2 linked regions of the Canis lupus familiaris genome follow. The protein of the gene in region 2 purifies or fractionates together with the protein of the main gene of each other region. This does not show direct contact. Links are inferred from orthologs where the notes say so. Each region holds a gene or a part of one and is shown on either strand. Other genes may lie near its edges. The genes, in order: CD9 and ITGA3.

Region 1 (15,211 bases), on a different chromosome or scaffold from region 2:
GGGCCCCACTGTCCTCAAAGCCCAATCAGCAGCATCCAGGGGAGGAGAGGAAGATGGGCCTGGGCCTGGAGCTGGGAGCTGGGGCTGAGGATGGTGGAAGTGGGAAATTAGACATAGATGCGTAGATGCAGGAGCACACACAGTACCCCAGATGTGTAAATATCCATCAGTTAAGACAAGAGGGCTTTTGTGATGATTTTAGAACTGGAGCATTAGCTTTGCATACGTTCAATCGATACATATTTATCAAGCACCTACTGTGTGTCAGGCACTGTTCAAGTAACGTGGGACACATCTGCAAACAGGGCAGTCCAAACCACCCACTCCAGTAGAGTTTAAATTCCAGCAGGAGGAAGCAGACCATAGATGGGAAAAGTCTCCCCTGTGTTAGAAGATGAAAGTGCTAAGGAAAATGGTGTAAATGCAAAGGGAGTTGGGAGGTTTGGGAGCAGGAAACATGAGCAGGAAAGAAGAAAGCAAAGCTTTAGGAGTAAGACAAAAATATATTAAATATTCATTACCTCCAACTCCTTCCCACTCCCTAGTCTCTAAACAGGACAGATCCTGAGAAATACTTGACGCTTTACTGAGCTGCGGGAGTGGAATTAGAGTATACAAACTGGAAATGCCAAGTGAGGGCTCCACCATTCCATAGGGACAGAAGGCTTGGACACAAAGGGAGGAAGAAGCTGGGGCAGGGGACAAAGGCAGGGGTGGCTGTCACAGAAAGGGAGCTTGCAGAAAGATTCATTCAGAAAGGGTTTTTAATATTTATTATTTATTTATTTATTTATTTATGATTTTATTTATTTATTTGAGAGAGAGCATGCACACAAGCAGGGTGGAGGGGCAGTGAGAGAGGGAGAAGCAGACTCCCTGCTGAGCAGGGATTCCCAAAGCAGGGCTCGATCCCAGGACCCTAAGATCACGCACAACCAGAGCCAACTGAACCACCCAGGCGCTCCCACAAAGGGTTTTTAGAATGGCGTGCTCTGGCCTGCAACCTCTCTCTTCTCATCCAGCGCCCCATGGCATCCTCATGAACTGCCCACTATACGTGGGTGATCCCACGTTGACTATTCGTGTTTAATGCAGTGGAAAGGTACGGCTGGAGTAGAGCAACCCAGGGCAGCCCAAGCCCAGAGACAGTGCAAGGCAATGGGTGGAGCGATGTGTGCAGAGTGGACAAGTGAAGACAGGGGGTCAGGACAAGGGTAGGACAGTTGTTTGGGCTTAGGAAGAGTTCTGAGGGCCTGGCCTACAGGGGGGGAGGAATGAAGGCTGAGAAACCCACTGGGAGCTGGAAGCAGAAGACCTGAAGCCTTGATCTTTGGCTGTAAGTCACTATCTCCTGCCTTATGCTTGTTTCCTTATCTCTAAATTGGACAACTCTGCAGTCACGGCCAGGAGTGGTACAAGAGATACTTCACATTCGTGAAGCAGGTATGGGATTGGAGGGAGAAGTGGTCACAGGTGATGTGAATTTTGGAGCTAGTGGGTGAAAAGCATGGCTTCTGGAGCAGAGAGGCCCTCAAAGTCATGAACTCTGATCTGGATATTTATTTTGAAATTCCAATTGCTTCTGTAACAAGTTACCACACATTTAGTGGCTTAACATAACACATTATTTTACAGTCCTGAAGGCCTGAAGTCTAAAATGAGTTGTTCTGGGGCACCTGGGGGCTCAGCCAGTTAAGCATCTGCCTTCAGCTCAGGTCATGATCCCCAGGTCCTGGGATTGAGCCCCACTTTGGGCTCCCTGCTTGGAGGGAGCCTGCTTCTCCCTCTCCCTCTGCTGCTCCCTCTGCTTGTGCTAGTTTTCATACTCTCTCTCTCTCTTTCTCTCTCTCTCTAGTCAAATAAATAAAATCTTTAAATGAGTTGTTCTTTCAGGTAGCTTTAGGAGAAAATCAGGTTCCTTGTTGCTGCCAGCTTCTGGAAGCAGCTGCCTGCATTCCTTGGCACATGGCCGCATATCACTCAGACCTCTGCTTCTACCTTCACATTTCCTTCTCTACCTCTGACCTACCTGTCTCTTCTCATAAGGACTCCCAGGATCACACCTGCCCCACCTGCATAATCCAGGATAACCCCTCTATCTCACAATCCTTAACTTGATCACATGCATGAAATGCCCTCTGGTGTACAAGGTGACACATCCTCACACATTTGGGGGATTGGGATGTGAAGGGCCATTAAAGGAGAAATGCCTAATAGGCCCTCGGATAACACGATGAGTTTAGAGAGAGGCAGCTCCAAAGAGAAATGATGAGAGGGAGGGAGTGCCCACGGAGAGCTGAGAGGAGAGCACATGGCAGGGAGCAAAGCTTGAGGAAGGCCCACTCCTCCAGTTTTTCCACACAGGTTTTGGGGAGCGGGTCGGGGAGGGGGGGCGCTGACCCGCCAGCAAGGGATTGGCTGCTTCGGAGAACACAGAAGTTCATCAGGTGAAGTATACCTTAGAGGAGCTCACCACCAAAAGGAGAACACACAAGAGAACATGAGGAAAGTCAAGAGTCACACGTGAGGGAGATGCAAACAAGGTAATCCACGGAGGAAAAGACCGGGGCGTTCAAGGAAGGCTTCATGAAGGGACGGCATTTGAACTTAGTAAGAGAAGCAGGGAAGAAGTTTCTAGAAGTGAAGGGAGTGAACCAACATGGTACAGCACTGGGAAGGCGGAGGGAGAACTGTCTAGAAAGAAGGGATGGTCGGCAGGGTAAAATGCTGCAGCAGCAGGAGCAGGGAGAAAGCGAACCCCCAGAATGACCCCTGGTGGGGTGGCCAGGAGGGCGTTGGGGGCCAGTGAGAGCGCGGGTCCTGCGGTTGCCTCCCGCGGCTAGAGGGATGAGCACTCCCGGGGAGATGGGTGTGGCATTAGCCCGCCTGGCCCCCGACGGTTCAAATCTTACCACCAGGGGGCGCACAAAAGCCAAAGTGGACCCGCAGCCTGAATCCGGGTTTTTCCAGAAACAGGATGCCCTGAGGGAAGGGAGGGACCGTTCCCCACTCCCAGCACCACAAAGTCTGGAAGCCCTCTCTGCCTCCATGTGATCTCTGACTCAGGGGCTTACCCAGATTTTCCCCTTCCAGCTAAAGCAAACCATATTTTTTCCATCTCTCCCCTTCCTGGTTGTCTGTAGAACTAACTGCCTGTAATAAACACACTTTGGCTCAGAGGCACCATAGATCGTCAGAATGGACGGGACCCTGCCATCTCCTAATCCAAAATGCTCGTTCTACAGGTGAGGAGCTTGATGCCCAGAGAGAGGAAGCGACTTGTCCAAAATAAACCCATGGGTCGGATCAAGAATTCAGATCTCCACACTCACATTATAGGGACTCCCTTGATTGCTTGTAATTTGGAATTTAACTATAGCCCCCTCCATTATTTCTGGAGTATAAATAGGAACAGTAATAGTAACAATAGCTAACATTTCTAGCACACTTGTGTGTCAGGCACTGTACTAAGCCGTCTCAGTGGATTACCTCATTCAATATGCACATTACCCTAAGAAGTAGTTTCTATCATAAGCTTAAATATTTACTGAACTCCTCTCACCTATGTTGGTGAAAGGGCAGGGTGGGAGGAGTAGAGGAGAGAAGAATATAAAAAGATAAAATCCTCTTTCCTTAGATTCTAGATAGGCGGCCTCTGCCTGAGAGCAGCACAATGGGACATTGTCTGATTTTTCTACCACTCCCACACGCTGCCTGCCCCCACCATCCTCATTGGACACTAGATTAGGGTGAGTGACAAAGCACTACCAAAATTCCTCCACTTGGCCACTCTTGGTATTATGCAACACGGAGGGGAACCCTGGTCTCTCTGCTTCTCCTTACTCATCACAGTAGGCTCCCAAGAAGCATTAGAACACGTGAATGGAGTTCCCCAGAATCCAGCTCCTGCTGTTCTGGCTGGGATCTCTCCTCCCCACCAACCCCTGCCCACACACACACACACACACACACACAGACACACACACTGTCCTCTCTTCTGGTTTGGCTGCACTCTCTAGCCTACACCCCCTCACCCCATCCTCTTCACTCTGTCTCTCACCTGACCCATTTTAGAGCCTCCTAACTACTCTCCACATGTCCTCACCTCACCTTTTGTGTCCCATGCTCCCCTCACACTACTCAGTTGTAGGGCCCCTGACATCACGTGACACCCTGTCACCTTCCATGTAATCCCTCAAAGCTCTGTGCCAAGGTCTCAACAGACAAACAATCATCCTTATCCAAGGGGCTTGCCGCCTGCACCTCCTGCCCTCCCCCCACGCAACTACCTAAAATACAGGTAGCCATCAACCTAAATCACACAGCAGATGGAACTCGCTCCCTACCTGAACCCCTCAGGGGCCCCAGACCTCAGAGTGCAAAGTGTGCGAGGGGAGGCTCCCCGTCATGTCATCAGCTGGGTCTCCACCTCTACTTCCCACGGATCTCCCCCAACTATGAGCTCCAGCCCCAAGCTTTGCCCAAGATTCTCCTGTGAAGCGACTTTTCCTTTGGCTCAGCAGCATCACTTTCCAACCTGTGCCAGAGGCCCCTCCTTTGAGCTCCCTCAGCCCCAGCTCTATCTCTGTGACCCCGAACAGTACTCTCTCCCATTGTCTGGCTGCCTGAATCCCTCCACCAGTGGACACCCAGCTCCTGCCCCTAATGATGCCCCTTATGAACAGATGCTGAACAATGTTTTTGAATGAATCAATGAGACAACCGAGAGTGGTCATAAGCATTAATATAAGAGCCACAAAGTGCGACACCCTCCATTTCTGGTGGGTGAAATTTGAGTTATGTTCTTTTTTTGCTTCTTGGTATTTTCTGATGTTTCTTGCTTTTGTAAAGGAAACTTCATTTTGAAAAAAAAAAGATACAAAGGGGCTTGGGGACTTCAAAAGAAGAGGGAATCGTTTCATCCTTTGGTGAGAAACAGGAAAGGAATGTTTGAGGAGCCTCATAGTTTCTACAACTGAAGAGGGTAGGGCCAGGCAGCCAGAGGGCACACACCACATGCCACAGCGAGGGCTAGGCCACGCAGAGTCAGAGTCGGGGAGCTGAGGAGGGCGGCGTGGTCCAGGTAGAGCGGTGCTGGGCACGGACACAAGACAAAGGACAGAATGCAAGATGGGCAGTTTCGCCTTGGGTCATTGAACACTGGGGAGTTACAGAAAGTTGTTGAGCTGAGGAGAGCCGAGCTCAGAACTCAGCATCCAGAGGTGTAGAGCTCAGCATCGGAGGCCAAGGGGCAAGAGGGAGGGTGCTGTGGAGTAGAGGCAAGAGCAGGAGCCGGAGCCCGGCTACAAACGCTCTCTCCCCTCCGGGCACGCACACCCCAAGGCCCCGGAGCTCTCCAGGACCACCCGACACTCCCAGCCCTGTTACTGTTGGGTAATCACATTTGAAAAATTACTCCTACAAGCCTCCAACCCCTCTTCCCACCTGGACTGCCAGCTTCTGATTCCTGCTCCCCCGCACGACGTGCGAGCAAGGGTGGGCTCCGCCAAGCAAGTTTGCAAGGAGCCGCCTCAGGGAGGGACAAGGCCAGGCGGCGTCCCTTCACGGGCAGCTCGGAGCACGGGGTCCCCATCCCGCGGCCAGCCTGCCTTGAGTGGGGGGACTGGACCCCAGTGACCCCGAGGGAGGGCTCCCAACGTGGGGGGCTCGGGCGGGAAGCCCAGAATCCGCAAGGCCCGCACCGAAGGGCGAGGCGCCCCAGAGCTCTTAGGTGAAGGCGGGGGGAGGGGAGCCCGGAGCGATCCCGGGGCGGCTGGGAGGAGGGGTCGGGCCGGCGGGGGGGGGGGGGGGGGGGGGGGGGGGGGGGGGGGGCGGGGGGGGGGGGGGGGGGCCGGGCGGGAGTCGGGAGCCCCGGAAGCCGGGCGGGAGCGGCCTGGGGGCCGGGGCGGGGCAGGTGGGGCCGGGCCGGGCCGGCCGGGGGCGGGGTCCGCGGCACATGCGCACCGCGGCGGGCGCGCGCAGCGAGGAGGGCACTTTTTAAAAGTGCAGCCCCGAGGCCCGCCCGCAGCCGCCGCCGCCGCCGCCTCGGCCCCGAGTGTGGTGCCGCTCGTCCCGGCCGCGCGTCCCGGTCCCACGCCAGCCCGGCCCAGCCAGCCCGCCCGCGCCATGCCGGTCAAAGGAGGCACCAAGTGCATCAAATACCTGCTCTTCGGCTTTAACTTCGTCTTCTGGGTGAGTGAGGGCGAGCGGCCGGCGCGCTCCTCGGCGCCACCTGTCCGTCGGGGACCTGGCCGCGCCGGGGGACGCCGAGCGGGGGACACGGGGCGCCGCGGCCGCAGCTGCGCCCTCCCCGGGGCCGGGCCGGGCGGGGCGGGGCGGGCGGGGGCGCGGGGCGGGGGGGGGCGCGGACCCCGTCTCGCTGAGGCTCTGCGCTGCGGCCCGCGGCTGCCCCTCGCCTCCCAGCCCCTCCGAGTGCAGGCGGGGGAAGGCGGCGGGAGAAGCGGAGCCCCTCGGGGGGCGGGGGGGCAGGACGGCTCGAGACCTGGTGGGGTCCCGCGAGGGGGCGATGCGGGCGCTGGCGGGGAGGGTTCAGCCCAGAGCTGATGGCACGTCTGCAGGACCGAGGCCTGGGACCCCGACCTGAGTGAGAGTCGGGGACCCCCTCGACGGTCGAGGAGGTGCTTGCAGGCCGGGTTCTGAGCCGCCGTGGGAAAGTCGGAACTCCCTCGAAACTACCTGAAAGACTAGCTTGTCTGGATTTTTTTTTTTTTTCCCCCAAAGGCGATAAGTATCTGAAGCGGAGAGAGCTCAGAGTTGGGGAGAGGCGAGGCAGCTGCCCGTTGGCGCTTTCAGTCCTGTGTTTCTCCATTTCCGGGGGAAGATCAGGTGCCCTCGGCCCCCTGGCAGCCCGGGCCCTCCCGCCTCGCGGACACCCCCAGGCCAGCCCACCCAGTGGCTAGGCGCGGCCTGGGAGAGTGGCGGTTCCCCCGGAGAGGAGGAGAGGACGCCAGGCCAGGCCGGGAGCTGCCCGACTCCCACTGCTGGCCGTGCTCACCCCTCTCTGCAAATGCAAAGTCTGATGGAGGCAGTGCCAAAGGGGATGCCCCCTCGGCGCCTTCTCTTGGGGGGATTAAGAGACCACCCTGAGACAGAAAGAAGCAAGGAACAGGGGACCTGTGTGTCCTGAGTCTGAGGGCCACATCCCCTGCACACAGATGGACAGTGTTTGTTCCTCTGCAGTCAGGGAGTTTGGAATGGCAGCCCAGCCCCTATGCCACCAGGGAGATGGCTCTAGAAACGGGCATGCCACCAGAGCCTTGTAACAAAAACTATACGGTACCTTGCTCCCCTGGCGCTGGTCACTGGGGTCCCCAGGAACCTCGGAGCAAACCTCTTGAGATTTTAATTCTCTCTCAGGAGCTGCCAGTAAGAGACTGACCTGCCCTTGCAAGAGTCACCATACACAACACATGTTCTAGTGAGGATGGCACATAGACGTGCCCCTGCCCAACACTTGGCCTGTTTTAAGGAACCCACCCACCCCTACCTTGCCTCAGCGGTGGGCATTCTTTCCTCCTGGTGTTCCCACAAGCAGCCAGCCAGCCAGCTCACTCCCAGGCTTGGCTTCCTCCCCTCACCAACCTCTGGCACCAGAAAAGAATGTGAGAAGGCGGATAAGCCCCACCCCACTCCTGTCCTTTGGGGAGTCTTCTTCCTCTCTCCTCCCCAGCACAATCTCACCCACCAGTCTGTTGCATCGTCCTCATCTATCTGCCTAGGCTGCATCAGGCTTTCAGGCAGGGAAGGAACCACAGACTCCCATAGGCCCTCATACCCAACCCTCCACCCCCATCTGCCCTGTGGCACAGGCAACAGTCTGTTGGGAAGTTCCAGGGCTCCTCTGGTGTCTGCTCAGTCTTTTATTGTCTCCAGCCTACCACCCCACCCATACTCAAAGCTACCCCTGCCTGGGCTAGGCGCTGCTGGTCAGCTATGTCATCTAAAACGGACATGACTGAATCTGGAAATGTTTGGGTCCAGAATTAGGAATGACTTTAGTGATCATCCAGTCCGCCCCTCGTATCCACAGTGAGGAAACGGAGAACCAAAGAGGGGCCCAGAATCACAGAGACCGAACCACACTTGAGTCCCGCCCTCTTCGGTCTACATCATGAAATCAACAAGGGGACCTGGTAATGGGCTGGTGTTGGGGAAGGAAGCTACGTTTTTCTGAAGTAACGATTGTTCAGTAGTCCTGTGTCAAGGTCCTTGTAGAAATGATAGAATAAAGGAGATAAGGATCCACTTGTGCAGCGTTTTACAGTCTGCAAAGGCCTTTTCCAAGTCCCATGATACAAGCCAGAGCTAGAAGCATTATCCCCATGGTACTGATGACCAGGAAACTAGTCGCCAGAGAGGTAAAGTGACTTATCCAGGGACATGTGGCAGGATAGCATCAGAAGTTTGAAGGGAGGTCTTACTAGCTTAAAGTCCAGTGTACTTCCCCTCCTAGCCTGCTGCCATGGTCAGCTGGGTAGAAACAAGCTCTCAAAAATATCTTTAAAGGGAACCTGGTTGGATTGTTATGATGGCACCAGTTACCTTTTTCTCCCAAGACCAGGAATTTATACACTTGGCATTTGGGATCTGATGTGGGCCTTGAAAAACAGGAGTTGTGAGGCCAGTGGCTCATGAACAAAGGATGCTGAGATGGGTGGCCTAGCAGGACCCAGAGAGAAGAAGCCTACCTCAGTGGTAGTGGGATGATCAGGATGGAAAGATGGTATACCTCTGCCCCAGCCCTGGCCTCAGCCCTATGGGACCCTGGGTGACAGCTAAACCTACCCTCTCTGGCCTCCCCAAGTAGGGCCTCTGATGCTCACAGCCAGACCAGCAACCAGTCTATTCATCCAACATCCCCACAACTCTAACTTCCTGGCTCTCCGTTGTTTCTGTATTTTCTTCTAGACTGCCCTACCTACTCCACTGCCCACGCCCCCTGCTCCCAAAAAACACAGTGGAAATCTGGACAAGAACCTGAGTATTGGTCTACCTCTGTCCTCTTGTCACTTGAACACCTTGGGGAGGTGGTTTGTGTGCTCCAGACCTCAGTTTGCTGATCTGTAAAACCAACGGGTTGAAACAAATGGTCGCAAACCGTCCCTTTCGGGACTTTGCCACACAATCCAAAATCTGAGTCAGGAGATGGGAATGCACAGGGGTTGTTACCAAGACTTGTCCTCAGAGCCTGGCATCATTGGGCCTTTACCTCCGGGGCCTGATTCTTGGTCTCTCTCCTGTGAACTTCACATTTCCCTCTGTCGCCCTGGGTGGGGCTGCTCTGGATGCAGCCTCCCCATCACCAGGCTGGAGCTGGTGTCTACCCCATGGAGCTGCTGTGGGTTAAATGACAGAGTGTGTGTGATGCCCTTGGCACAGTAGCCTCGCCCCAGACACCATAAACTTCCAGCTGTGGCCGATGTTACTCCACAGCTGGAAGTACATTTAGGCAGTGGGGAGGGTGGGAGCACTTCCCAGAGGAGGGTAGAAATTGAAACCAGGGATGTAGGCAGGAATCCACACTCCACACACATCCTCCTACCCCTTCCTTTGCTCCTCTTCCTGAATCGCTGCCAGCCTCATGATCCCCACCCTACCTCCGGGATTCCCACTTCAGGACACCCTCTCCATTTTATGTGTGGTACCACGTTTTGACAGTGGGGCAGCCCCACTTATGAAAATAAGCCACAGCGCAGAGAGACCCCAAGACCTCAGGCTCTGGGGTCAGGGCAGAGGATGTCCCCAGGGAAGTGGCAGGGGCTGCTTTCTCCAGAAGCTCTTGGCCTTGGTGGTTGGGCTGAGCCAGCAGTTGGGACTGTTGCCTAAAATGGCTCTCCACCTTTAGCACACAGACAGCAGGAGCCCTGGTAAAGCTGGCCGTGTTTGTACTGAGGCCGGCAGGTCTGGGGACAGGTGGGGTGAGGCGAGGCCAGGTGTCTACATCTGCTAAGGAAAATAGGACTGCTCCCCTCCCCAGAATCTTGATGGCTTGCCCCTCACTTTGTTCTGTAATGGTTGTCAACAACAAAGCTCTGACTCCTGATTTTGTGGGGAGTGGGGTTCCTCACTCTACCCCTTTCCTTTCAGAGTGGCCCATGGCACCATTCTGGACCTTACTCTTCTGTACTCAAAGGAAGAGGCCCTGGCATTTGAACCACTTTAGTAAGCAGCCCCACGGAGGGCCTTCCTTGCCAGAGCACCCAACTCAGCTAAATGAGTCGGTCTGTGGCTTCAGACCTCAGTCGGCCTCCGCACACCCTTCTGTATTAGATGTGAATCTTCTCTGTTAGACACAGAGCTGTGTGTCCCATGTTTGACTTGTGTGTTTGTTTTCCGGTACGATTCAATTTTATAAGGAGGTGTGGCTTTGGGTCGCACCGTTTGGAATTTCATAGTTACACTATGAACCTGCAAAAGCACCTTTTCTTCTAGAAAACAGGAGCCTTAACTGTTCTTTCCTGGGTATGGGTGCACCTGGCTGTGGGTCAGGATAAGGGACCTGAGGCCATGGGTTATCGTGACTTCTGTGGCCTGTTGTCCCGTTGGTAGACAAGGAGGATTCTCAACAGACCTGTGTCCGTTCAGCCAGGAAAAGAGAGTGATGTTTGAGGAGGTGTGTGCTTTTGTTCTGCGTTCCCCACTCTCCAGGTGGGGGGGGGTCAGTGGGACTGCTGTTGCCCCCCCCCCCCCCCCCCCGCAGGTCTTTTCCACCACAGAGGTGCAGAAGCAGTCTTTTCCATCTCTTCCATACTTCCTTGTTCCAGGGTTTTGAAACTCTGGGTAAGAGCCTGTTGGCCCCATGTTCTCAACTCCTCGGAAATGTCCTCTGCAACGGACAGATGGAAATCAGGAGACCAGAAGGGCTAATCTCAACAATACTTTTTTTTTTTTTTTTTTTAATTTATGGTTTTGAAGTCTGACTGCAGATCACTTGCCTGTTGCATTCTGTGGAAAAAGTAATGCTGGTCCCGGGACATTTTCATTTTCCATCAAGTGATGGCATGCAGCTGTGGAAAGCAGTATCCTGTCTCCAGATGAGATAATTTTATAATAATTACATCTATCCGGTAATTCCAGCTCCCCTCCTCTACTGCCCCAACCACCTCCACCACCCCGAAAAAGTACTTAGTTCTGAATAGGTTTTTAAGTACTGTGTGCCATCGTCCTAGACTCATGGACCTTAACTTACTTTTTAAGGGAATTCTACAAAATCAGTAAGACCTGCCTCCAGAAAAATGATATGCCTTTTTTTTTTTTTTTTTTGGCTTTTTTCTGAAGGCCAATGAACACCTCATATTAGTTTTTCTCTCTTGGTCTCCAGGCAGCCTCTTCTCTGTTCTGAATCCCATGTTTCAGCCATGAGCAGTGGGTTGCCTCGCCACTACCCAGAGACTGGGGGTGATTTGAGAAAAGCTAAGTTCCCTGATGATCAAGAGCAGCCTAGCCTGGAGAGCTAGCCTCCCCACCCATACTTGCTCTGACTCTCAGCTTAATCATTGCCCAAGGAGTGGCTTTGACTCTCGATTAATTTAATGAGTGTTCTGTATTTCCAGTCCACATGAAGAATCTGACTTTATGAGCTTCTAGCTAAGTTTTGCTTCTTGGGTTAGGGTTTTCCCATAGCTTGGGTGATTTGTTTTTGTTTAGGAAGAACTGAGTTCTGACTTTCCCTCCGCCTCTTTCCCTACCAAATAGAGGCTAAAATCAGCCAACCTCTCCTGGCCTTCCCCTTGAGAACTTTAGAAAGGGAGGGGGGAGGTGTGGATTGTTTAGGGATTTGGGCTCCTGAGGAGATGATATTCAGTTTGATTGAGTAGCAAGGGTAGGTGAAGCCCTCTGATGGAGACGGGCCTGGATTCATTTGATCCTAGCAAAGATCCCTGGGTAGAGAGGTATGAGGACTATTGATTTGGAGAAAAATCAGATATCTGGGTTTTTTGGTTTTTGTTTTTGAAGATCTGAATTTATTTATTTGAGAGAGAGGGAGAGCCAGTGAGAGAGCTCTGGGAGGGATAAGCAGGCTCCCTACTGGGAGCCGGATGCAGGCCTCTTAACAGACTAAGCCACCCAGGTGCCCCAGAAATCTGGGTTTTAAAGGTCCTTCTTGTTCAGTCCACATGCCGGGCATTGTACAGGGATGCTGAAACAGTGACTTTTGCTGGCTCTGTTAGGAAAGTCAGCCTTCAAAGCTTAATCATGTTACTATTATGTTCAGTGTGTATTCCAGGCTCCAGTGAACACCTCTCAGGCCATCTTCTGGTCCTACTTTCCCCACTCCCACCATATTCTAGCTCTGACTCCCTAAGACAGATAATCCCTAAGAGACCTAGAAAGCTTATTTCAAACAAATTAGCTCCTCTCCTAGTGCTGAGGAGGGCCCACCTGTTAGTATGAGAAGCTGGCATTATCCTCTGGGGGCAGGTGGCTCCCAGGACTCCATAGCCGGGGCTCTAACACAGGCTTATGGTCATGCCCTTCACTGGCAGGATGGTGCTATGGGGAAAGGGCAGAGGTTCTGGCCTTCCCCTTGGGGCCATTCCTACAGGGGACACGAGGACGGTGGCCATTGGGCAGCCAGACTTGCACCAGTAGCTAAGATGGGATGAGAAGAAGATATGTTAAGTTACTCTGGGGAATCTGTTTCCCAGAACAGTGCTTGTGTCCACACTGACTTTCTGGCCAACGCAGCAAGGGTGTGGATGAGGTTCTTGGGCCAGAGGCCAGCAGGAAGAAATGCATTTTCAGTCTATCTCTGTCTGTCTGTCTGTCTCTCTCTCAACTCTCTCAACTCTGTCTGTCATGCAGCCGGGCTCAGAGAGAGACCAGGGTCAGGTTACACCTCCAGGCCAGGTGGCCATTGCAGGTGCCTTCCCAACCTGAGAAGGTAGAGCCCTCTGCTATTCCAGGTGGGCTCTCCTGGGACCTTTAAGAATAGAAGGTACAGTTTTGAAATGAGATCAGATATGGCCGGGAAGGAGACAGGACAAAAGTACAAAATTCTGACTCTGAAATTAACGACACTGATCAAAAAGACAGTTTAGCAGAGAGAAACTGGGCTTTGCAATCATACTGTCCGGGGTTCAAGTTCTTGCTCAGCTGTTTATTTGCTACGTGATCTCAGATGAGCTGCTGCTGTGTCCAAGTCTTCCCATCTAAAAGATGGAAGTAAATATTGCCTACTTGGTGGGTCTATTGTGAAAAAGAGTACAAGTGAAATGCTGCAGGCAGGGTGTGGGACATAGCAAGTATCAAAGTGCTGGCTGCCCAGGAGCACACAGTTAACCCTCGAACAGTGCACCAATCCCCACTCACTCAAAAATCTCTTTATAACTTCTGACTTCCCAAAAACTTAACTACTGATAGCCTACTGTTGACCAGAAGCCTTACCAATAACATAAACTGTCAATTAACACATACTCTGTATACTGTATTATATGCTACATTTTTACAATAAAGCAATCCAGAGAAATAAAAATGTTATTAAGAAAATCATAAGAGAAAACACATTTACAGGACTGTACTAAATTTATCCCCAAAATCTGCATATAAGTTGAAACCCGCCTTGTGCAAATGGCAGCTATAATTAAGAGACCTGAAATGAAGACAGAGATCATGGCAAAGGGATACGATAGATTATAGGTTGGACACAGCAGTTGGGAGACCTCAGCTCTTGCCCCTCCCCTGGCTTTGTGCTCAGAACACCCCATGATGGGGAAGGAGGGCCATTGAACTGAGCCGTGCTGGCTGTGCCTATTGCGAACACTGCCAATCCACACACCACATGGCATTGCTTAAAAGATATAAACAAAGGGGCATCTCCCACCACTCAGGGCCATGCAAGCAAGTGGTAACCAATCCCACAGATGGAATGAAAGCTAGCTGGTCCACATGGCTAAAGTGTATAAACAAAAGAGATAGAGAAAGCGTGTGTGTGTGTGTGTGTGTGTGTGTGTGTGTGTATGTGTGTGTGTGTGTGTTTGTAATCGCCAGGCATCTTAGGCATACACAATGGAAAACAAATGTGTGGTATTCTGGAATTTAAAGGAAAACATCCCCAAAACAATCCCCCACATCAGATGATTTTGGTTAAGATCAAAATGCCTGTTTTCAGCAGAAAACAGATTTATGGGCTGGCTGATGTGTGCTCCATGTCTGGCAAGCAGGCCATGGAAACTTGCAATGAGTTTTCTTGTTTAGAAAGAGGTTATCTTGGGCAGAGGCCCTCCCTCTGGATCCTTCATCCCCAAACTACTTAATTCTAACATACCATATTAGCTAAAACTTTTCTCCTCTCTTGGTCAGAATAAGGGCTCTGGTTTTTTTTTTTTTTTTTTTTTTTTTTTTTTTTTTTTTTAAATTTTTATTTATTTATGATAGTCACACAGAGAGAGAGAGAGGCAGAGACACAGGCAGAGGGAGAAGCAGGCTCCATGCACCGGGAGCCCGACGTGGGATTCGATCCCGGGTCTTCAGGATCGCGCCCTGGGCCAAAGGCAGGCGCCAAACCGCTGCGCCACCCAGGGATCCCAGGGCTCTGGTTTTTAAATGATGCTGACTTTGTCTTTGGAAGGGAGGATTTCTCAACTCTTGAACTTGTTCAGACCAGGTCGCGGCCTCATTACCATAAAGGTGTGCTGAAAAAAAGCTTACAAGGCCCTTCATCCCTTGCCACACCCCAGAGAGGGGACCTCGCTAGCTCCCTTCCACCAAGAATGTGACAGGCAGTCAAATAACTGACCTCTGTGTGGCCAGTGCTATGCATGTGACAGAAGGAGAGAGCTGATGGCTAAGTTGCTCCATACCTGCTCTGTGACCTTGGGTAAGTTATTTTACCTCTCTGAGACCATTTCCTCATCTCCAACTGGGATGATCATAACTATTTCAAGAGATGATCATAACTATTTCAGTTCAGCCAGCCCTCTTAGATTCAGAAGGGGCAGCAGGACCTTACCATAGAAATCTAGCTCAAAAAAAAAAAAAAAAGAAATCTAGCTCCCTCATATTCCTCTTCTCCCTGGGAAATCCCACTGTTGCTCCTATAGAGCAGGTTCCCCTCTTAGCCGTACACCAGCCTGAGGCCAGGCTGGAATACATGTTGGCCCCAAAGAGCCACGCTTAGCAAACTGATGGCACTCATATGCTATAGCTGTTGAACCCCTCCACCCTGGAGCCCCTCCCCCGACACCCCCCC
Region 2 (15,203 bases):
CTGAGATGTCCATCCGCTCACAGTCGTTCTTGTGGGCAGTGAGTGGGCACAGGTACACGGCACCGGTCCGGTTGGTATAGCCATCAGGCACAGCGAGGTCCTGGGGAGCACCAGCCAGGAGCCTGGGGTGGGGGGTGGGGGGCAATGAGGCTGGTGGGCCTGGGCTCAGACTTCCCAAAGCCTGCTGCAAACAACTTTCTGTTCAATATGTTTGCTGAGCGTCTGCTGCGTCCCTGGTGCCAGGCTGTGTGCCAGGCTCTGGTATCGGGAGATGAATGGATCCTGGCCCCTGCCCTCCAGGAGTGGCCAATGCAGGAGAGGCAGGCAAGAAAACAGATATCTGCAGTGAGGGCCTCGGGAGAGGAAAGCAGGGTGCAAACCTGCCCAGACCCAGTGTTGGGGGGGTAGTCTAGGAGGCTCACGTAAGAGGGGATCCTGGTCAGAGTCTGAGAATGATGACCAGGGCTCACCAGGAGAAAGGAAGGAAGGGCACTTCAGGCAAAGGTATGACATGTGCAAGGGCAGGAAGCATGAGCAAGCAGGGTGACTCAGGATTTGCAAGGCTCTTTATACAGCAGGAGCTGGGAACATGGAGGAGGGACCCAGGGGGCAGGGGGACCTGGGGGGGGGGGGGGGGGGGGGGGGGGTGGAAGGGGAGCCCAGAAGGGCAGGTTGGGAAGGGATTTTTAAGCAAGGGAGTGACATGATCAGATCTGGGGTTTGAAAGGAATGTTTGGCATCTGAATGACATGGTCAGATCTGGGTTTTGAAAGGAATGCTTTGGCCTCTGAGGTGAAGGTAGACGGGAAGAGAGAATGACCAGGGGAATCCCCGCACAGGGATCAACTTCCAGAGCGGCCTGAGAACACGTGAAGGGGGTAGGGGCAGTGCTGGAGGCCTGGGTCCCTCCTAGGTCTAGGGGCTAGCACTGAAGAATGGCAGCAGGAGATGACAACTGAATGCAGTGGGTGTCCCCAAAACTGGAGCCGCATGAGCTGCAGCCAGCAAGGCCCCTGAGTGACCTGCGTGAGGTCTACTCTCCCTGGCACGTCACTGCCACTACCCTGAGACAGGCATACAAGGGCTGGGAGTGCTGGGTACCTGGCCCTTTGGACAGTGGGGCCACAGGGCCACATTCTTGGCAGGTGGGCACGAGAGTGGGGATTGGCCCCAACCTGCCCAGCACCCATCTTTGGGGAAAATGACTGCAAAGCAAGTTCCTACAAGGGTGCTTAGGGCCCTCGCCACCCACCCCATCCCAGACAGGTGGCTAGAGGAGAGGAAGGCAGATCAGCCTGGAAGCAGTATCTCAGAAGACAAGGTCCTTGGCCCACCAGTATGAGAAATCCCCAGCATATTTGTTAAAAAACGGCAAATTCCTCAGCCTACCACAGACCATCTGCATTGCATCTGGGGGTAGGGCCCTAGAACCTGCATATTTAACATGTATCCCAAGTACTGTGCACCTCAGTTTGAGAAGACAGCTCTACCACCCTTTGCTCTCGGGATATCACCTCCTGGTAGCCTCTAGACATTCTGCTAGGATTGCCAGCCAGATCCTATGGACACAGCCTCCTGGGTGGCAGGTACCTCCTAGGTACCCCTCGATCAAGCTCCAGCAACACTATCACCCCGAGGCTCTGGGCTTCCTGCCAGAGTCTGGAGGTACACAGCAACGGCCCCGCCTGCAACTCCTGCCTGGGACCTGTGAGTGAGGGCTCCAGGGAGTGGGCAGGGCAGGGCCTGGGCATGCCGGGACCTGGGGTGCCTCCGCCCACTGGCTGTGAGGAATGCACTGCCTGGGGTGCTGGGAAGGGGTGGGATCTCTGCCTGCGCCTCACATCTCAGCTCAGAGCTCACCCTGGGAAGCATCCCTGGGGGCAAGGGTGCAGCTTCTCCAAGCAGAGCAGTGCTAGGAGGGGCTGGGGGAAAGCTGGCAGGGCACCAGGGTGGCAGCCAGGCCCCATTAGTCACCCTCTGCCCGGCTGGAGAGGGTGCTCGGTGAGTCCGCTGCCTGACCACCCATGGACATCTGCCCCGGCGCCACTGACAGGTGAGAGAGGGAAGCAAGAGCCTGTGGGAAAGGAACCTAAGGGCCTGGTTCTCGGCTTTGTTCTGCCTCCTGGGGCAATTTTTTCCGTCTCTGAGCTGTAAGTGCTTCATCTGTGAAATGGGAACAGCAGCTGTCCCATCAACCTCCAGGGCTGTTGAGGGGAACAAACAGGTTCATTCTTCACAAGAGCTTTCTGACTCCGAAGTCATGGCCAACGTGAGCACTGTCTGTCCAGTTTCTGGCGGCATCAGGGACTGGCCCTGGCTCACCCCCAGGTGTTCCTCCAAGCACCCAGGAATCTTTGCCCCATCAGGTTAGTGAGTCTAGAACAGAGGGCAAACAGCAGACTGGTTCAGCTATTTACAGGGAGCAGAGGAGGGGACCTAAGCAGTACTTCGTGGCGGTGGAATCACTGAGGTGGGGTGTGTTCTAGCGTCGTTGTCCCGATCTGGCTGGAGGTAGAGGCTGAGTGTTGGCTATCATGAATTTGAAGGGACAGGTCCAGGCCTAAGGGGGCGGGTGGCAAGGAGTCCCTGGGGAGCCCTGGTTGCTTTCCAGGGTGTGAAATGCAGTGCAAGTATGGCTTTGCCCCAGATGCAGCCCTGACCAAGCTGTTGGGGCATGAGACAGCTCAGGAGCAGGGTGGCCATGACCTCTCAGCTTTGCTCATCTCAGGGGGAGTGGGCTGAGGGACCCTTCCTCTTAGCCTCCTGGGGTACTGAGCAGGCAAAGCCAAACAAGAATGGCAACTGGGGTTGAAATAAACCCCTTTGGGCAGCCCGGGTGGCTCAGCGGTTTAGCGCCACCTTCAGCCCAGGGCCTGATCCTGGAGACCCAGGATGGAGCCCCACGTCGGGCTCCCTGCATAGAGCCTGCTTCTCCCTCTGCCTGTGTCTCTGCCTCTCTCTCTCTCTCTGTCTCTCATGAATAAATCAATAAATAAAATATTAAAAAAAAAATAAACCCCTTTACCATCTATACCCACTCAGCCCTCACCCTGCTCCAGCTTTGTGCCCACTGATGGGTTATGGGGCAGGGCGAGTGCCCTAATTCCAGCCCCACATCCCAGGCCCCTCCCTCCCCAGAGATTCCAAAGGAGCCCCCCTCCTCCAGCCCCCCTGGAGTATTTTTAGCTTCTACTTGGCCTGCTCAGAGGCCCTTTAAGGCCCTCTGGCTCCCAGCCCGGGATCCAATGGGTCTACAGCCAGAGGACCGGGAGTTAGATGGGGAAAGGCATGTGCAGAGGGTCAGGTCCAGCTTCCTTAAGCTGCAGCCAGGTGTGGGAGAGACCTTGCTGGCATGTAAGTGAAATGTAAAACATATATGCAAAGGAACACCTCTGCTGCCTGCCGTTGGGTCCGGTCCAGATCAGTGAGTCCAGAAGCCGACCCCTCCCAGACCGCCACGGAGTCCAACCTCCAGGCTGTGGTCAGAAGGGAGGCTAGTAGGATGCTTTGCCCAGCTCTTGAAGCACAGAAGAAAGGAGATCTGACCTCCCCTCTCCTGGAGCCGGGTTGGACCCCTCCAGGAGCTAGGGGGATGGATGAAATGACCTCTCAAGGGCTTTCTGACAGCTTCTCAGCCTCTTCTTTGGCTCCAGCCAGACAGCTCATCCTGGCCTCTGGGGAGCCCCTTGAACTCCAAGTTCCATAAAAGCACTTCCTCAACCCGGTTCCATCACTCTTCCTTGGGTGGGGGGCTGTGGGGGTTGGTGTTCAAAGCTAATGCAACAGCCAAGCTGAAAACGGCAGTATGGGAGGAGGCTGGGGAATGGAGCTAAGGAGCATTCAAGACACCAGGTTGGCTCTCCTTGCAGAGAAGAAGGCTCCCTGGGGGACACTGGGGTGGGGTGATGCTCAGAGAAATTGCCTGTAAGATTCAACTTCCCAGGATCCTCATCAGGGAGGTGCCTGGGAAGCTTTTAGTTATCGTGGGGGGGCCAGAGGGGCGAGCATTCAGACCACACGCCCCATGCCTTACTCCTCAGGCCGGGCGGGGGCGGGGGGCAGTGGCGCAGGGCACTGCTACAGTTTTGAGTCCAGGGGTGGGGGTGGGGGCAGCTCTCAGATGCTGGATCCCAGCTCTGTGCCCATCCTGCTGCCCGAATTAGCCAACTCCCCAGAGGCTGCTTGCTCCAGTGAGCTGAGCCGCAGCCCTCTCCATCCTCCCCCCACATCGCCCTTACTCTGCCCACCCAGCCCCCTCTCCCCACTGGTGACTCAGCCCTAGAACCAGAGCAACAGGCTGGAGGAAGCAAGAGAATGAGAGAGGACAGGAGAAAGAGGCCATGTCCCCAAACAAGGCTGTTTTTCTCATTTCTTCTCCCTCTTGCTGGCTCCTTAGTATCTTTTCCATGTTTGATCCCTTGGGGCGTTCTTCATGTTATCTAGCCTCAATCCCTCATGCTGCAACAGACATCTTCCTCCTTTGTTCAGCTCCGGCCAACCCCCTTTCACTTCTTTTTCTACTAGATGAGTCTTCCCCTGCCTTCTCCCCAATTTAAAGCTCCCTGGCCTGGGCTGGTCACCGGAGGGAATGGAGAAGGGCACTCGGGGTACAGGCCTTCTGCCTGCAGCCACAGCTGCTCTGTCTGTTTCCTCCAGCACGAGCCTTGGAGGCTGCCAGGCGCCTGCCCTGCCCAGGGAAACATGTTTTAGGAGAGCACAGCAGGTAAGCCCGGTTCCTACCTACCTTAGATATGACCTCATCTGCCGGGAGCCACAGCCACCCCCGCCCCAGGCTCCGCAGACACCCTCATTTCCAGGCTAGGGCAAAGGGGAGAGAAAGCTCCAGTGGTATCTTCCCTAGCCCACAGCATCAGACCAAACCAGGACAACTGGATTCTCAGGAGGGAGCTACAGAGCAGGGGCTAGGGGCTGGGGGCAAGGACCATTGCCCAGAGGAACAGTCCCTCTGCTTCCCCAGGGCTCTTCACGCCTCTCACAGAAGCCCAAAGCTCTTGGGGCCTTGGGCCTGCTCCTCACTTCTTGCTTCCAGAGCCAGGGGAGCTGGGGCCTGGGTTGGGGTGAACTCCAGCCCAGAGACAAAAGAGATAGGGAACAAAGAGGGTCCACACCTGGGTTTCTAACCATTTCTAGAATAAGGCCATCTTTGAGAATATGATGAAAACTGTGCTCTTCCCCTCCTCCTGCCCGCAGAACAACGCACAGATGCATGATTTTACATGTATTTTCAGGGGTCCCTGCACCTCCTGCAAACCTTCTATGAGCCCCAGGCTAAGAGTTTTTATTCATGACCATGAAACCTCTCCCCTCTTCCAAAAGGACTTGTAGACTAACAGAATATAAGACTTGACTTGTTGGTTGCCCTAAGCTGTGCACTCAGGCAGCTGTTCACATCTGGCTATACAGCTGGCTGCAACTAAGACCAGATGGCCCAGCTGGCTCTCCCAAAGGGCCAAGGGGCAGAATTCAGCAAGAAGAGGAGATGAACCAAGATATAGAACTACCCTGGGGAAAGACAGGATACCCAAGAGAATGGCCCAGACCTCTGTTTAGAACTTCCTGCCTCTCCAAGGGTCATTAGCTTTAGAACCTCCTGGGCTCTTAGCAGGTCTAATGCCATCTCTAGCCACCCAGGAAGAAAGGTAAAGCCCCTCTGCTCAGCCATCTTGGGTGAGGCACATGGGTAGTAAGAGCCTGGCTTCAGCACAAGAGCACTAACTGCTCCCCGGAGACACAGGCATGTACAGAGCCTTTTACACACGCTGTCTCACTAGAGAGCCCCACTGGCACCTCATGAAGAAGGCATGCTGCCCCGCCTCCTTCCGCCAACATGTAGAGACGTTAAGACTCAGGTATTAGTGACAGTTCCGAGACTGGAATGTGGCAGTGGGACTCCGGCGCCTCGCCTCTTCTCTCTCTCCAATCGCAAGCTGCCTCTTATAGGCCAACAGAGGCAGGAAGGACTCTATAGATCCAGGTCCAACCCCTTTTTGGAGAAAACTGGCCCAGAGAAGGGAAATGTCTTGCTCAAGGTCACATGGTGGGTAGGGGGGATGGGGAGCGGGGTTTACAGAGCCCATTATCTACTCCAGCTTTTCATTATTTACTCTTGCTTTCCTGATCTTCTTTTTACACTGCATTGCTTTATATCATGCAGAGTCAGTCTGGAAAGTCAGAAAATCTTTTTCTGGGCTGGGGCAGAAAAAGCGCCAATACAGAAACTTGTGCTGATGGTCACTTTTAAGGTCTGCAAAAGATGAAAGGCTGGCCGAGGGCATGGTGCTGCGCTGGGAAGGATGTGGTGGCCTTAGCCTCTGCAGAAGCTAGATGGAGGCCCAGGTAGATAGGTATACTGGGCAGGGGCTGGGCCGACAGGGCAGAGGCCAAGGCTGGGGCAGAGTTTGGACTTTGGACATTCCAAGCTTCCTCAAGTTTCTGCAGGCTCCAGCCAGAGTTGAGAAAGGTTACAATACACCCTGTATCAGACCATGTCCTCTTGCTCAGTGGAGTGAGACACCAGGTAGGGATAGCTGTCTGGTAGGTCCCCCAGCCCAGAGACTTAGGTGGGGCCTGCCTGACCTTTCCTAACACCTTCTCTCCTGGGGTAGCCTCCCCTCCCCTCCCCCAGCGGCCTTCTTCCCCTGGCTGTCAACCTCAGCACCTGAGCCTACAGAAGAAAAATCCCTGAAACCTGGACTCTAGGCAGGAGAGTGCCGGTGGCAGCGGGAAGCAGGAAGCAGGGTAGGAAACAAACAGCTGGATGCAATCTCCTTCTCTCCTCTCTCCTGTGGGTAGCTCTCCCCCCTTCCTTCTCCTTACAGCTGTCAGGGGGGGGGAAGTCTAACAGAAGAGAAAAACACCATTTCCCTCTTCAAACCAAAACAAACACACTCAGGGTTGAAGATTCAACATGAATCTGTGGAATGTGGGGAAGATGTCTGGTGGGAGGGCGTCCCTGCTGGGGGTGCGGTGGGGGCAGGAGACCAAGCAGGAGTCCGGACAGCTCCCTCTACTTCCCCATCTTCAAGGGGTCAGAGGGAGCTCCCGGACAGCTCCAAATGCCCAGACTCGCCCATCACCTCACCCTGCAACCGCCAAGCGCCAAGCCCCTTAGAAGGCCCTCCAGTCTGGCTCTGCAGAGGGTGTGGCTGGCATGGCCCGCAGGCAGGCAGACTAAACGCAAGGTGTAAAGGCCGGCGGGCGGGAGGGGGGAGGTGTTAAACACACATGCCCACAGGTTCTTCCCAGGAAAGGGGATAGAGGGTTCCACTGAGTGTTTACCTTGCAGTTTTCCCCAGGTCCCAGCCCTGGAGAGAAGTATTCATAGATTAGATACTAGGTCGACAGAGTGGGAGGGGGCTTGGGAAACGGGGACCCCACTTCCACTTTCAAGAGAGGTTTAAAGGGTTGAGGGGCTGAGTTTAGGCAGGTTCCGGCCGGTCAGCACTTGCTAATGACTGCTGACCCCATCCCACACCCACTCCCTCCACTTGCCGCCAGACCTCGGCCGCAGAAGGGCTGCCCAGGCCCCCGCCCCCTTAATCCCGGTCACTAGAGCCGGCGGCCCGCGGGCCTGGAAGCCAGGCTGCGCCCAGGCTCGGATCCGCACCGGCGCGCGCACGGTCTCCCCGCCCCGCCCCGCCCCGCCCCGCCCGCCTCACTTACAGGTAGCGCCGCTGCCGCTCCGTCTGCCGATGGAGGGCGACCGAGTAGCCGAAGAGGCTGCCCGGGTTCCTGGCCTCTTTCACCACCAGGAATCGGGTGTCCAGGTTGAAGGCGGAGGCGACGCGGCCGCCGGCGGCCACCATCAAGGCGAGCGCGCAGAGCACCGGGCGCGGGACGCAGGCGGCGCGGCGGGCGCGCGGGCCCATGGCTGCGGGGGCGGGGGCGGGGGCGGGGGGCGGGGGCGCCCGGCGCTGGGAGCCAGGACCCGTCCACCTGCCGCGCGCTCGGCGGGGGACCGCGGAGACCGCTCCGGCGGGCGCGTCCCGGAGCCCCGCAGCGCTGCGAAGTTTCTGGCCCTCAGCCGCGTCGGTGTCACGTCCGCCCAGGGTCTGCGCGCCCCGATTCCTCTCCGAGGCTCGCCGGTCTACCGTCCCGCCTGCCCAGCCGCCGGTCACGGCCCCCCCGCCCCGGGCACTGCCCCCGGCTCGTCCCGGCCGCGCCCCCTTCGCCCTGGGCTCCGCGGCGGATCTGGGAACGCAGACCCGTGGATCGCGAGGAAGACGGGAGGGAGCGGTCCTCTCCGCGCGCGCCCCGCCTCCACGCCCAGCCCCGCACCTCCCCACCTTGCGCGCCCAGCCGGGGCTCCGCTTTCCTTCCGGGGAAAGAGAAAAGGTCCCGGCTCCGCCACCGCCTCTTAAAGGGGCAGCACCGCCCCTCCCTCCTCATCCTCCCCGACCAGGCTCCGCCCTCTCCCCCAAACACCTGTCGGGAGCCCCCAAAGGCTTGGGTTTCCCCTCTCCGCCCCTTGCTTCTCCTAGGAAGCGTCACCTCCCGAGCAAGATGGATTGGCCGGGCGGGGCCGGGGGTGGGATTTGTCTGGAGGCTGGGCTCCGGCCGCTGCTGCTGCTGGCAAGGCCGTTCCCGGCGCGGCCACCTCGGCGGGCCGGCTGGAGAGCCCCGGCGTTGGCGCATCTGGGAGCCCACATCTGCGCGCCGCTCGGGGCAATGCCGGCTTCGCCTCCGCAGCGCTGTGAATCCCTGAGAGGCGGTTGGCGGTCTCTGGGCCTTCTTCCTCGCACCCAGGCCCTTCGCTGTCCTTGTCCAGATGTGCTTCTCTGGCCCGCCCGCACCCACCCACCCTGACCCGGGCTGGATATGTTCCCTCGGCAAAGCCCGACAGATATTTAGCAGTGGTACTAACCAAGCGTTGCTAATTGTAATGAGCAGCAAGACAGCACTTCCCCCACAGGGCTCCGCCTTCTGGTATCCCTCATACACCCTCCGGCGTGTAAATGAGTCCCTTCTCCTTAGAATGCACTGTGTGGCCAGGGAACTGGGCCCAGACTGCACCCATATCTCATCCGCTCCTGCCTTCAGGGCCCGGCACAGCAGAATCCCAAATGTCTCCTCCTCCTCCTACCCGGGCTCAGCCTGAGTGTTTGGAGATGGGGCGGGGACGCCAGCCTCCGTAGGTGTGTAGTGAGTGGCACTAGGTGGAGGTAGGTGGGCAGGGCCCAAAGGCCCGGTCATCCTCAGAAGAATCTAATTGAAAGGGAACTTCAAGAGGTCACTATGTACTTTCTTGAATCTAACTCAGATTTTTCATATTGCAAGTACAAAGACCCACTTCCCCTGAACATTGTTTTCTCCAGGCTGAAGGAACTTTCTTCTTTTGGCCCAGAAATTCAGCCCTCAGCCCTCACTCTCTTGCAGTTTGATTTAGAGTCCCTGTTTCTGGAAGTTTATAATAATAAAATGAAAACTACTATGTAGAAAATGCTAAAAAAAAAAAAAAAAGGAAAAAGTGCTAATGCAGCAGGAACTATGCTAAGTACTTTACGAGGATTATTAGATCAAACCTCACAATAATCTTTGAGGATTATCTGCTTCATGAGGAACCTGAGACTCAGAAAGGCTAAGCAACTTGGTTAAGACCACACAGCTTGGATTTTCATCATGTATTATCTGACCTCAGAGTCCTTCTTGACCACTTGTGCTAATCATTAACATTTGTACACTACTCAGGGCAGGTCTAAGTTTGGGGGGGGGACCTAAACTTGTACAATTTGGCACCCTCCCTAAGGAAAAGAAAAAGGAGTTCTGGAGTACAGAATTAGATTGAGAACCTGGAGGGGGACTTGAACATTATAGTGTATGAATTGTTTCATGTGAAGACTCATTTCATCCTCCTGTCCTCCCTGCGAGGTCAGTATTATCATCTTCATTTGACTTATGAGGAAACCTGGATGTCCAAGGTCAGGCAGCTCGAGGCAGGCAGAGCTAGCACTGGAAGCTACTGACCACACCTGTGTCTGTAAGAGACGAGTCCCGAGCAGATGTTGGTTAGATAGCCAGATGCATCTGAACAAAAGCAACTGCATAACAGCGTGGTCTATGGTGCTCATCCCTATCTGCCCTTAGGACAGCATACGTTCCTGAGCTGTGACTCCCAGAGCCACCCAACCTCTCCCCGTGGTCTGCCTTGTGGCCCAGGGTGTGCAGGGATTAGGAGACATCTGGGGGCAAGGCATAGAAAGCTGACCTGAAGTTACCTTATTCTCCTTTGGGCTGGCTGCCAGGTCCTCCACCTTGTTTCTGGAGAAGGGGAGACAGCAGGGGCCAAGGAAAGCAGGGGCCAGGGTGGATGCTCAGTGTGGGCAAGGGGTCCTACCTGAAACAGCTTTGAGAATCCTGTGATGACAGATGGGCTGTATGCCAGCCATTATCTCTTGGGCCATCCCAAACAGGAATGACCAGCATGTCCGATCCCAGGGCTGGGAGCAGGAAAGGGATGAGGGATGGTTTTTCCACTCCAGGGGAGTATCCTGAGGGAATGTGGAGTGGGAGCAGGGCGCCCGGGAGTGGGGGAGGGCTCGAGGTAAGGAATGTGGAGGAGTGTCAGATAGATGGGGGTGGGGGGAGACAGAGCTGGAGGAGGGATGTTGGGAGATGTGGACCCTGGAAAGGTCTCTGAGCTGAAGAGATGCAGGAGAAACCTCAAAGTTCATGACAAGGGTCTGAAGTCCCCTGGTTCCAGTGACAAATCATCCACAGCCTCATCTCGTCCATCAGCTGACTTTATTGTGTCAACTCTTCTCCATGGAGAAGAGCCTCACCTAGAAAGGTAGAGAGAAACAAGGGCACATGGAATAACATGTGTGAAGGAATCAGAGTCCATTTTTCTATGTTTGACTGCTGATAGCCGTAAGCCCCACCTCTTCCTCTCCCTCTAGGCCCCACACCTGGATCAGCTGATAACAGAGCCTGGGGCCATGTTCCCTCCTTTGGTGTCCAAGGGGGATTCAAACCCCTTTCCTGCATAAAGGCTCACCTTGCTTAGTCCCTAGCCACAGTGAAGCAATCTCTTCTTGCTCTCTCACACCATTTCAGACCTTGCTCAAAAGGCCAGCCCTGCTCTCCCCAGAGACCTCAATTATGTAAATAGTAAACTTTTTCATACCCTCCTGGCATGTGTGGCGTCATCAGTCTTGACATCAAGCAAAACCCTGGGTGGGGTCCATCTGCTTCTGCAGGAGACTGTGACAACAAGCCAACTGTGGGTTCTGTTGTGGAGGCAGGGAGGCTTCTTGGAGGAGTATCCAGACAAGGGAGAAGGAAAGGACTAGCAAGATGGAGAGAGAATATCAGAACGGAGGGAGAGAAGAAAGCAGAAGAGTTGGGACCTGGTTTGGGGTGAAGTTTTCTCAGTTACAATAATGGTAACGTCAAGATTCTGTAAAGGTGCCTCGGTTTATTCAGGGCTTGCTAGGTTTGCATCAGCCTTCGTCTGAGTAACCGCCACCCACATCTCAGTCTCCAGGAGCCCTGAACTACACTGCTTGCTCCCTCACTTCTCACAGGAAGATCGGAGTGCAGATGGGCTGTGCACAGGGAGCTGGAGAAGAAACATGGAGCAGAATCGGCGTGCCTTGTGGATTGAGTGCAGGCTCTCTTCGGCCCTCTCACCTTCATCAAGTTACTTTCCTCCTCCAAAACTCGATTTCTTCATCTGTGCAATGAAAGGGCTGGATGTGAGTTCTCATTATTCCCTAGCCGGCATCCCGTGTGTCCCAGGGCGCTGAAGATTTGTTGAACCAAGTGGACCAAATCTTTGCTATTGAATTAAGACTCAGGTCACTATCTCTGATCCGCAAATGCAAATTACTGAGGAGGGAAGGAGGAGCAGTGAAGCATGAATGGGTTTATCAGATTTCCTTTCTCCTGTGACCTAGATACCACAGGGCAGGCGCCCAGTCCCTAGCTCAGAATCCGTCAGCCTCAAACATTCACTGACACCCTACTACGTACAGGCACAGAGCTGAGGACCCCCAGGGGTGTCCAAGATGAAGTGGGACATTTTTCGGGGAGGCCGAGCTCTCATCTTGACCCCACATTCGGAGAGCTCTCACATGTAAACAACCTAAACATGCACCGTGTTGTATCTTAGGGCTGGTGCTTGTGGGGCAACGGGAGGGGGGCGCAGTGGGGGTGACACGCAGTCATTCTCGAATCTTCCAGCCTTTACAATGACTTCTAGTCTGGGCTTGCAGTGTGATTATAGATACCAGACTCACAGGTTTGTGGGAACACAGCACAACCGGGGCCCAGAAGTCCCTCACTGTGTGGTAATTATGCTCACTGTTGAGTACACCTGCATTTCTAGCACTCATGACAGTCCCTCGGACATGGGAGGTCTTCGCCCACCGCATGTCCAGCCGAATCCACTTGGCCACATTCTCTTTATGGCCCTAAAACAGAGAACTCCATAGAGGTGAGTGAGAGGCCAACTCTGTCTCATAAATATCCTCTTGCCCCCCGTCCCCTCCCCAGGCCTGGGATCCTGTTGGGACAAATGTCTTGGCTCAGTGAGTTGAAAAGGAAAGTCAGAATTCTGAGGCATGAATCGCTGTGCCCACTGACTCACTTCCTCCACCCCACCCACTCCGGACCCAGCTGGGCCCTGAGTAACAGGTTGGAGCCTCCTCCCTGCCCGTGTTCCTCGTCCCAGCACCCACCTCCCTATGGACCTCACCAGTGAGCTGGCCAGCGAAGCAGGGCAGTGAAACCAGCTACCCCAGATTGGAAATTTGCTTGCAACTTTTAGGGAGCTAAGGAGCAGAGGACAGGGCAGCCAGGACCAGGGAAGGGGGGGGAGGGTTGGGGTGGTGGGTGCAGCAGGGGGAGGGCACTAGACCTGTTCTCAGGTCCCTGAGTCTGATGGATGAGGCAGTGCACCCTCTGGAGTTTGATCTGGGAGGTAGCAGAAATTCCCTTCATCATTAAGGGCCCTCTCCTTTCCTGCCAGGATCACAGAAGTGCTAACCATGAGGCAACCTTCCTGTGGCCTAAGGCCTTGTTCCTGAATGTTCCTATTAAAAGGCAAGGAGCTCTACCTGGCAGGGTAGCACGTGGGCTCCCTGGCAGGGACGGGGCAGGATGTTACAGCTTCGCCCACAGAAACCAGGGCCCTGGGGGGATAAATGATTCAGGCTGCATGAAGGTAGGGGGAGGGAAGGAAAAGGCCAGATCTGGGACAAAGAATGATTTCATGGGGGTGGGAGGGGCGGGCAGGGGTTCCCGACAGGCCCCGGGACTGCCCTCTCTGGTTAACTGTTAGCATGATGGGGCAATGAGGAAGGGATTTCATTTTCCTGCAAAACGATGCCCAAAGTCTTGGCCTTTGCCCTCTGGAGGTCTCCTTCCCCACTGTGTCCCGGACTCCTCTGAAGGGAAGAGTTGTGTCGAGGCCAAACCCTCAGTGGCAGACCTGCTCTGGGCGGCACTCCTGACAGTGGCTTGGAGGCGGAGCGTGGACATAGGACACAGCCCACCTTGACTCCTGAGCAAGACAGTGCCCAGGGGTACAGATGGGGGAGGACAAGCAGATGCACACAAGGGCACAGGCCCAGTGAGGTGCCATGGGCAGGGCAGCAGGGCAGCAATCGCAAGCACAGAGGCTGTAAGGGACATGATCAGGAAAGCCTGCTGGCCTTAGAACTGAAGGGAATGGATGGCTTTGCATCTGGCCCTGAGCTAAGAGCCTTTGTGGATTTGAAAGACTGATCAGGGGCTAATGCAGGAAGGGACATGAGAAAGGATGAGGACCTGCCCTATTGCAGCTGTGGACATCGAATTATCTCTCAATTTCATTTGAGAGGTATTTGGGTGAGGATGGGGGCAGGATCTGGTGGCCAGCGGGTGCAAGGGACACAAGGAGAGGTCAGTAGCAGGGATTGCTCGTGAGTCTGCAAGACCTCTAGGGTCTCTTAAGTGGATGTGCAGGGCCTCCGGGGAATCTGCCAGAGGCCCCAGGATGGAGGTGGAGAGAGACAAAGAGGCCAGAGTCCACAAGGAACCCCAAAGGGGTGCACTCCAAACCCGTGTTTGGAGGTCTTTCCCCAGAAGCACTAGCCTCAACCTGACGTCAACCTGGCCATGGCAGCCTAGATCCTTGTGGTCAGGCTGGGCCCACAGCAAGCTCCCCTGAGATAGTCCCCATGATAGTCCCCATAATCACCCCTATGGGTGATATTCCCATAGGCCACTCACCACGTATACCTGGCACTCCAGGCCCTCCGTTCTGTCCTTTTTGCCATCTACCTCTCTTGTTGTTCTTGCTGTCTTGGGGTCCCCACTTCATTCATTTCACGCCTACCCTCCTCTCTGCTCCCATAGACTTCAGAACACTGTACAGTCACACTTGCTGACAGGGTGCCAGGCAGTGGGATCTGCTACCCCAATGCACGTCAGTCCCAACTCACTTTTGGTCATATCAGCCTCAGTTTCTTTGCAAAGAGGTGATGATCGTGCCCTGTTCTGGGGACAGCTGGGAGAGTGACCAAGATCATACCTGGGGAGCACCTGGCATGGGGACACACACTGTGCCCTTTCTGCTCTCTTCTCTTAGACAATCATTATCTGGGTGCAGAGGATTTCCTACCCTGACTGTATTCAAAATCAATCTTGGGGGTGCCTGGGTGGCTCAGTCAGTTAAGCATCTGCCTTGGGCTCAGGTCATGATCTCAGGGTCCTGGGATTGAGTCCTGTGCTGGACTCCCTGCTCAGGGGGGAGTTTGCTTGTCCCTCTGCCCCTCCACCCCACCCTCCCACTCCCACCCCTGCTCATGCTTGCTCCCTCTCTCTTTCTCAAATAAATAAATAAAATCTTAAAAACAAACAAACAAACAAACAAACAAAAAACATCAACTTTGGACAACTTGCAGAACCAAGCCTAAAATATCCAGCTGCTCAGTCTGGGGTTGAGGTCCTCCATGACTGCCTGCTTACCTTTGGTCCTTGCACTCCACACTCTCGTCCTTTCCCCATGGCTTCAAGCAAGGGTGGGGGTGCGGGGGTGGGGGTGGGAGGATCTTCATCCCCCAAATCCTGCTCATCTCTTTCTCAAGACCTTTGCCCAGGGCATTCCCTCCATCTGCAAGCCACACCCCAGCATCTGCCTGCCCATTGACAGCTCCCATCAAGGTCAAATGAAATCCACCATCTTCCTGGCTCCCTTGGCC

What was found.
Region 1: the proteins of ITGA3 (region 2) and CD9 purify together in Homo sapiens (affinity purification with western blotting; 3 studies listed by BioGRID and IntAct, with this or other methods). This does not show direct contact. The link is inferred for Canis lupus familiaris from reciprocal best matches to the Homo sapiens genes ITGA3 and CD9.

The regions. Positions count from the first base shown.
Region 1 is NC_049248.1:7,312,089-7,327,299, forward strand, and holds the start of CD9 (CD9 antigen), read left to right. Parts: upstream 1-6,027; 5' UTR 6,028-6,126; coding exon 6,127-6,192; intron 6,193-7,507; exon of another isoform or gene 7,508-7,614; intron 7,615-15,211. UniProt on the Homo sapiens protein: Integral membrane protein associated with integrins, which regulates different processes, such as sperm-egg fusion, platelet activation and aggregation, and cell adhesion.
Region 2 is NC_049230.1:26,009,415-26,024,617, reverse strand, and holds the start of ITGA3 (integrin alpha-3), read right to left. Parts: upstream 7,890-15,203; coding exon 7,684-7,889; intron 123-7,683; coding exon 1-122.